Callithrix jacchus: one gene and its partner. The protein of the gene in region 2 interacts with the protein of the main gene of each other region in a biochemical or structural test. Links are inferred from orthologs where the notes say so. Each region holds a gene or a part of one and is shown on either strand. Other genes may lie near its edges.

Region 1 (3,654 bases), on a different chromosome or scaffold from region 2:
GCTTTACAAGTGGTCAGCACTACAGGCAGAATTTGACACCAGAGCCATCAGTTTGTGACTTCTGGGCTAGAGTGCAGGATGCAAATGACTCAGTGGTGAGGGATGAAGCTGAAGAGGTAAACAGGGTTGAGATTGTATGAGATTTTGTAAGCCAATTATATTTTGGATTTTATCCTAAATTAAATTGGAATTGTTGATAGAATTTAAGAAGTGTGACAGAGTTTTTCAAATTTTCAGACAGGTTATTATCATACAATATTGCTTCCTTACAGTTCATTCTCAACAGTTCTGATTGTACTGATCTGATTGTACTGTTGAGAATGAACTGCAAGGAAGCAATATTGTATGATAATAACCTCTCTGAAAATATGTGAAATATTCTTGATTTAGAAAGCTCATTTGTTCATTCAACATAGGGAAAAAGAATCTGAATTCTCGTGGGAGGTAATTCCTGCCACCTCTGTTTCCTTCATCTGTTCACATATGTATATCCAGTTATGACAGGTAATGTGTATTTTGCATCTAAGTACAATATTCCATGTTATTATTTTGATGATTGAACATATATATCATTTTAAATGTAACAGTGTTCCTACAAAATGATGCCTACACATTTTGTTGGTTTTGTGTTTCTAATATTGTAAAAACTTTCCATTTTGATTTCAATTTTTAAGAAATATACAGACTATCCTAATATGTGTTAAATTATTTGTTCCATATAGTTATGCGTTTCGAACCTGGAGAAGATCATGCAGAAGATGCGATCATGATGAATACTCCTGTGGTTAAAGCTGCCCTGGAAATGGGCTTTAGCAGAAGCCTGGTAAAACAGACAGTTCAGAGAAAAATCCTAGCAACTGGAGAGAATTATACACTCATCAGTGATCTTGTGTTAGACCTACTCAATGCAGAAGATGAAATAAGGGAAGAAGAGAAAGAAAGAGCAACTGGGGAAAAAGAATCAAGTATGTAGATTTATTAATACAGTCTCTATTTTCATAAAGATTTGATACTACTCTCTATATTATGGAAAGTATACTCATCTAGTATATATACTGAAAGTATACTCAATCCAATCAGATTTTTTTTGTGTGTTTAGTATTCTGAATTCAAACACTGAAAAATTTCTTTATATTAAAATATATTTGAGTTGCTCATAAATTGAAACTGTATGATGTGCAAAAGTATTTTTTTCTGTTTTCCATATATATATATATATATATATATTTTTTTTTTTTAATTGCATTTTAGGTTTTGGGGTATATGTGCAGATCATGCAAGATAGTTGCATAGGTACACACATGGCAGTGTGCTTTGCTGCCGTCCTCCCCTTCACCCACATTTGGCATTTCTCCCCAGGCTATACCTCCCCCCGTCCCCCCATTGTCCCTCCCCTATTCCCCCCAGTAGACCCCAGTGTGTAGTACTCCCTTCCCTGTGTCCATGTGTTCTCTTTTTTCATCACCTGCCTATGAGTGAGAATATGCGGTATTGCATTTTCTGTTCTTGTGTCAGTTTGCTGAGAATGATGTTCTCCAAATTCATCCATGTCCCTACAAAGGACACAAACTCATCGTTTTTGATTGCTGCATAATATTCCATGGTGTATATGTGCCACATTTTCCCAATCCAGTCTATCGTGGATGGGCTTTTGGGTTGGTTCCAGGTCTTTGCTATTGTAAACAGTGCTGCAATGAACATTCGTGTGCATGTGTCCTTACAGTAGAACAATTTATAGTCCTTTGGATATACACCCAGTAACGGGATTGCAGGGTCAAATGGAATTTCTAATTCTAAGGCCTTGAGGAATCGCCACACTGTCTTCCACAATGGTTGAACTAATTTACACTCCCACCAACAGTGTAAAAGTGTTCCTATTTCTCCACATCCTCTCCGGCATCTGTTGTCTCCAGATTTTTTAATGATCGCCATTCTAACTGGTGTGAGATGGTATCTCAATGTGGTTTTGATTTGCATCTCTCTGATGACCAGTGATGATGAGCATTTTTTTAATGTTTGTTGGCCTCATGTATGTCTTCTTTTGAAAAGCATCTGTTCATATCCTTTGCCCATTTTTGAACGGGCTTGTTTGTTTTCTTCCTGTAAATCTGTTTGAGTTCTTTGTAAATTCTGGATATCAACCCTTTGTCAGATGGGTAGGCTGCAAAAATTTTTCCCCATTCTGTTGGTTGCCAATTCACTCTAGTGACTGTTTCTTTTGCCGTGCAGAAGCTGTGGAGTTTCATTAGGTCCCATTTGTCTATTTTGGCTTTTGTTGCCAATGCTTTTGGTGTTTTGTTCATGAAGTCCTTGCCTACTCCTATGTCCTGAATGGTTTTGCCTAGATTTTCTTCTAGGGTTTTTATGGTGCCAGGTCTTATATTTAAGTATTTAATCCATCTGGAGTTGATTTTCGTGTAAGGTGTCAGGAAGGGGTCCAGTTTCTGCTTTCTGCATATGGTTAGCCAGTTATCCCAACACTATTTATTAAACAGGGAATCCTTTCCGCATTGCTTGTTTTTGTCAGGTTTATCAAATATTGTATGGTTGTAGATATGTTGTGTTGCCTCCAGTGCCTCTGTTCTGTTCCATTGGTCTATATCTCTATTTTGATACCAGTACCATGCTGTTTTGATTACTGTAGCCTTGTAGTATAGTTTGAAGTTCAGTAGTGTGATGCCTCCCGCTGTGTTCTTTTTGCTTAGAATTGACTTGGCTATGTGGGCTCTCTTTTGATTCCATATGAAGTTCATGGTGGTTGTTTCCAGTTCTGTGAAGAAAGTCAATGGTAGCTTGATGGGGATAGCATTGAATCTGTAAATTACTTTGGGCAGTATAGCCATTGTCACGATATTGATTCTTACTAATCATGAACATGGAATGATTCTCCATCTGTGTCCTCTCTTATTTCATTGAGCAGTGGTTTGTAGTTTTCCTTGAAGAGATCTCTTACATTTATTGTAAGTCGTATTCCTAGGTATTTTACTCTTTATGTAGCAATTGTGAATGGCAGTTCATTCTTGATTTGGCTCTCTTTAAGTCTGTTATTGGTGTCTAGGAATGCTTGTGATTTTTGCACATTGATTTTATATCCTGAGACGTTGCTGAAGTTGCTTATCAGTTTCAGGAGTTTTTGGGCTGAGGCGATGGTGTCTTCTAGGTATACTCTCATGTCGTCTGCAAATAGAGACAATTTGGCTTCCACCTTTTCTATTTGAATACCCTTTATTTCTTTTTCTTGCCTGATTGCTCTGGCTAGAACTTCCAGTAGTATACCGAATAGGAATGGTGAAAGAGAGCATTTTTGTCTAGTGCCAGATTTCAAAGGGAATGCTTCCAGTTTTTGCCCATTCAGTATGATATTGGCTGTTGGTTTGTCGTAAATAGCTTTTATTACTTTAAGATATGTTCCATCAATACTGAGTTTATTGAGGGTATTTAGCATAAAGGGCTGTTGAATTTTGTCAAATGCCTTCTCTGCGTCAATTGAGATAATCATGTGGTTTTTGTTTTTGGTTCTGTTTATGTGGTGAATTACATTTATAGACTTGTGTATGTTGAACCAGCCTTGCATCCCCGGGATGAATCCTACTTGATCATGATGGATAAGTTTTTTGATGTGCTGTTGCAATTGGTTTGCCAGTATTTTATTGA
Region 2 (3,754 bases):
TGGTGTGATTTCCGCTCACTGTAACCTCTGCCTCCCGGGATCAAGTGATTCTCCTGCCTCAGCCTCCCGAGTAGCTGGGACCACAGATGTGCTCCACTACGTCCAGCTAATTTTTGTGTTTTTAGTAGCGATGGGGTTTCATCTTGTTGGCTAGGCCTGTCTTGAACCCATCCTCAGGCAATCTGCCTGCCTCAGCCTCCCAAAGTGTTGGGATTACAGGCTTGAGCCACCGCGCCCGGCAAGAAGCCATGTTTTAGTGGGTACACACGTGCACAGGAATTGGAGAGTGGGGAGTGTGAGTTGACTGTTGAGTAGGGCCTGTGTGTGTGTATGAGTAGGGAAGGAGCCAGTGCGGGGAGTGAGAGCTCAGAACTAGGTATTCGAAGCGGGTATTTATGAAGAGGGGTATACCTACGAGCAGACAATGCACTCAGACAAGAAAGATTTGTGCATTGGACAGAAGAGAGCTACCTGAAACTAATGCTTCTCACAGTGACAGCACTCCCCGCCCGCACACTCGCGCACACCTTTTTCCTCGGCAATAAGAACTAAGGAGGTAAGTAAGGGATCTGATAGATAATCAGTTTGTGCATATGTGCAAGGTGAGAAATTGCGACAATGCATATATTTGAGAAAAAGTGAAATCTTTAAAGGTAAAATAACAAAACCAGCTGTGGCTCCTATTGGATAAGGAATTACTAACTGATAATTTAGAAATGCCTTTAAGTGCGTTAGCAGCTCATTTGTTATCCCCATTTTCCAGATGCGCAGCCCCAGAGTCACGTGCTCTAAATGAGACTGCAAAGACCGATTCCAGCGTCCGGCGGCTCTCACCTGAAGCTGCCCAGCTGAGGTCAGCGGTGAGTAGGTGACCTGCCAGCGCCCGCGGGCCTGCGGCCGAGGACAGGGCTGGAACTACACTTCCCAGTGTGCCAGGCGGGGCGGGGCGCGGCGGGGAGGGCGCAGGCTCCTTCCCAGAAGCAAAAGCGGAAACAAAAGAGTCTCGCCGGCGTCCCCGCCCGCACACTCGCTCTCGGGCGCACACGGAGCAGGGACCGGCGCCCGGAGCGATCCTGGGAGCGGCGAGCCGGAGACCCACTGCGCGGAGCCAGCCGAGCCGCCAGAGCCCAACCCGGGACGACCCGCGCCCCCGAGCCCCGCAGCCGCCCCCCGCCGGCCGGTGTCCCCACCGCCATCCCGGACCCATGGCGCTGAAGCGGATTCAGAAAGTGAGTGCCGAGGCTGGGCCTGGGGCTGCGGGGCGGGCAGCGGCCCCCTGACCCGGCCGGTGGTCCCGAGGGACGTGCGGGGAAAGCACGGGATGGGAGGGTGGGCCGGAGCGCGGGCAGGGAGCCGGAGGCTCGGGCCGGGCCAGCGGGCACCGGACAGGTGAGGTGGGAGCTGGGGCAGGTCCCAGGCGGCCGGAGGAGCTTGGAGGCTGGGGGCCCGCTCTGCGCTCGCGCCGGAGCCGCTCCCGGAGCCCCGGGGTAGAGAGCCTCCTCCGCCTCCATACCGCCCCAAAATCTGTGCTTCACGGTCAGGGCTGGGTTTTGCCCTCCATGGGACTAGTTTTGACCCCTGTCATGCTGTGTTTTCTGCAGGCTGTTTCTTAAGCCTGTCCTTTTTTTTGTTCCTGCTTCTCCGGGCTCCCCGGGAGGGCACGGAAGGTGGGGTGGGCCTGCAGCCTTTCTCCGCGGAGCTGTCAGGGTTGGTTCTTTCTTTCCTTTGCGGTTGGCTCTTGCTCAGTTGCCCAAATGGGCTGGAAAGCTCATTTGCAGCCAAGAAGCCAGGAGAAGGCTCCTGCCCCTTCTATTTTGGTGCCTCTGCTGCTGCCACTTCAGGTCACATAGCTGTAGCGAAAACATAGTTGCTGATACACAACAAGATGACCTCCTGGCTGTGATTCACGGTGAGTCAAGCCAAACAGGTTTTTTTCCCCCTCATGATAAACTTAGATGTAAAGTTCGAGACACAACATAAACTGTCACAAATTAAATTGTTTTGATGCTTTGACACATGAGTATAGAATGAGGAAGAAATGTATATCTTCATCCAACGACTGTTTGGCCATCTCAACCCTGTGTATGGAACTGTCTTCTTTTCACAGTATTTATTGCAACCATTTCAGATGTGAACAGCTTTCGGAATTGAGATTCGGGCATTTCTTTCTGTTCATGTTTATTTCTTGGTGGTCCGTGTACTGACCCAGGTTTTAGGTTTTACAGTTATAGTTCACACTGGAAACGTTGAGAATGTGTTTGTTAAATAGGGAGTGTTTTTCAGCAAGTTAAGCAACAATGAGCAGTGTGTTTTATAGTTGTTTCAGAATACATTGATGCCCACAAAACATTTTTATCCACTTTTTTGACCAGGAGTCAATATAGCAATATATGTGTTAGAGCAGTGACATTGTATTCTGATTCACCACTGGTGGCATCTTTAGGTACAGAGGACAGCAACTTTTAGAGCCTGCTAGTTTTTTGTTTTCAATTTCTGAATCTGTGGTTCACTTATTTTTTTGTGCCATTTAAAGGTCATCTCATTGTAAAACAGTTAACAATCAGCATTTATTAAGTAATGCTGTTTTCTTGTTTGAAGGTAGTACAATTACACATTTTTTTCATATAAATATCCTAATTTTGAAGCCTCAGTCAGCATGTTTACCATACGTTGCATACTTATTAATGATGACATAATATTGGTTCACATTTGGATCAGATAATGCACATCTTCCAAGGAAGTTTTCAGTCTATTTTCTTCTTTCCTAGTTGTGAGAATTTTTCACGTGACTTTGCACACACAAGAGCTTTTTAAATTTTCTTTTTTTCTTTTTTTTAAAGCGATGGGGGTTGGGGAGTCTATGTTGCCTATGCTGGTCTTGAACTCCTGGCCTCCAGAGAGTCTGGAATTACAGGCACAAGTCACCATGCCCAACTAACAATAGCTTTTAAATGCTGTGTAATTTGTCCACAGTAAGTAGATATTCAAAGAAATATGGACAGTGTTTGTAAATACCATGCTTGGCAGTTTTCATCAATCCCGGTGCTGAACTAGTGCATTTGACTTATAATATGGTATGTGTCCATATCTTTTCTTTTTAGCATTGACAGTTATTAGTTTATAGAGTTGTCCAGTAAAAAAAATTATCTACATAGAATTGATATCAAACGTGATGAATTGATATTTTGGAGAAGAAATTGGGGGTCATATACCATCACATCTCTATGTGTTCATCTTTCTGATACCAGGCAAGTTGACTTAGACAAATCTTTCCATTAATCACATATTCAGACCATTCCCTCAAACCTGAGGGGTGATTATTTTGATTGATTCCATACTTTTCCTCCTCCTTTACCTACCTCCTTGATTAGAAGCCAATTCCAGGTTGGATGTGCTACCTGCCATATGAACAGTTACATAATCTTTTTTGATGCCATCAGTATACAAATTCTTATTTGGATCTTGCATGTTCCAGCAAATGAAGATGTATACTAACTTTTGGCCTTTCTTCTTAAGCTCAATGAAATATTATTATAATTTTCCTCTACCTAAAGTGGCAGGCCGTAGAGCTGTGTGGAACCTCAGATAAGTTTGCAGTAGTGTAGTAGAGCATACCAGCAGGGGAACAACTTCTAGGGCAGTGTCTCAGATTCTTCTGTGGGATGTTTTCTCAGACTATCATCACTTCTGTAAATGGAGAGATGCTTAATCCCTCAGATGGGTTGGGGTGGAAAGAAGACTGAGAGCCACTGAT

The links. The genes of interacting proteins can lie anywhere in the genome.
Region 1: the proteins of UBE2D1 (region 2) and BIRC3 form a complex in vitro, tested with the Homo sapiens proteins (5 studies listed by BioGRID). The link is inferred for Callithrix jacchus from reciprocal best matches to the Homo sapiens genes UBE2D1 and BIRC3.

The regions. Positions count from the first base shown.
Region 1 is NC_133511.1:37,294,241-37,297,894, reverse strand, and holds part of BIRC3 (baculoviral IAP repeat-containing protein 3), read left to right. Parts: intron 1-722; coding exon 723-965; intron 966-3,654. UniProt on the Homo sapiens protein: Multi-functional protein which regulates not only caspases and apoptosis, but also modulates inflammatory signaling and immunity, mitogenic kinase signaling and cell proliferation, as well as cell invasion and metastasis.
Region 2 is NC_133513.1:72,171,169-72,174,922, reverse strand, and holds the start of UBE2D1 (ubiquitin-conjugating enzyme E2 D1), read left to right. Parts: upstream 1-1,205; coding exon 1,206-1,229; coding exon of another isoform or gene 1,230-1,511; intron 1,512-3,754. Other genes in the region: uncharacterized protein LOC144578806, read right to left, coding at 855-1,511.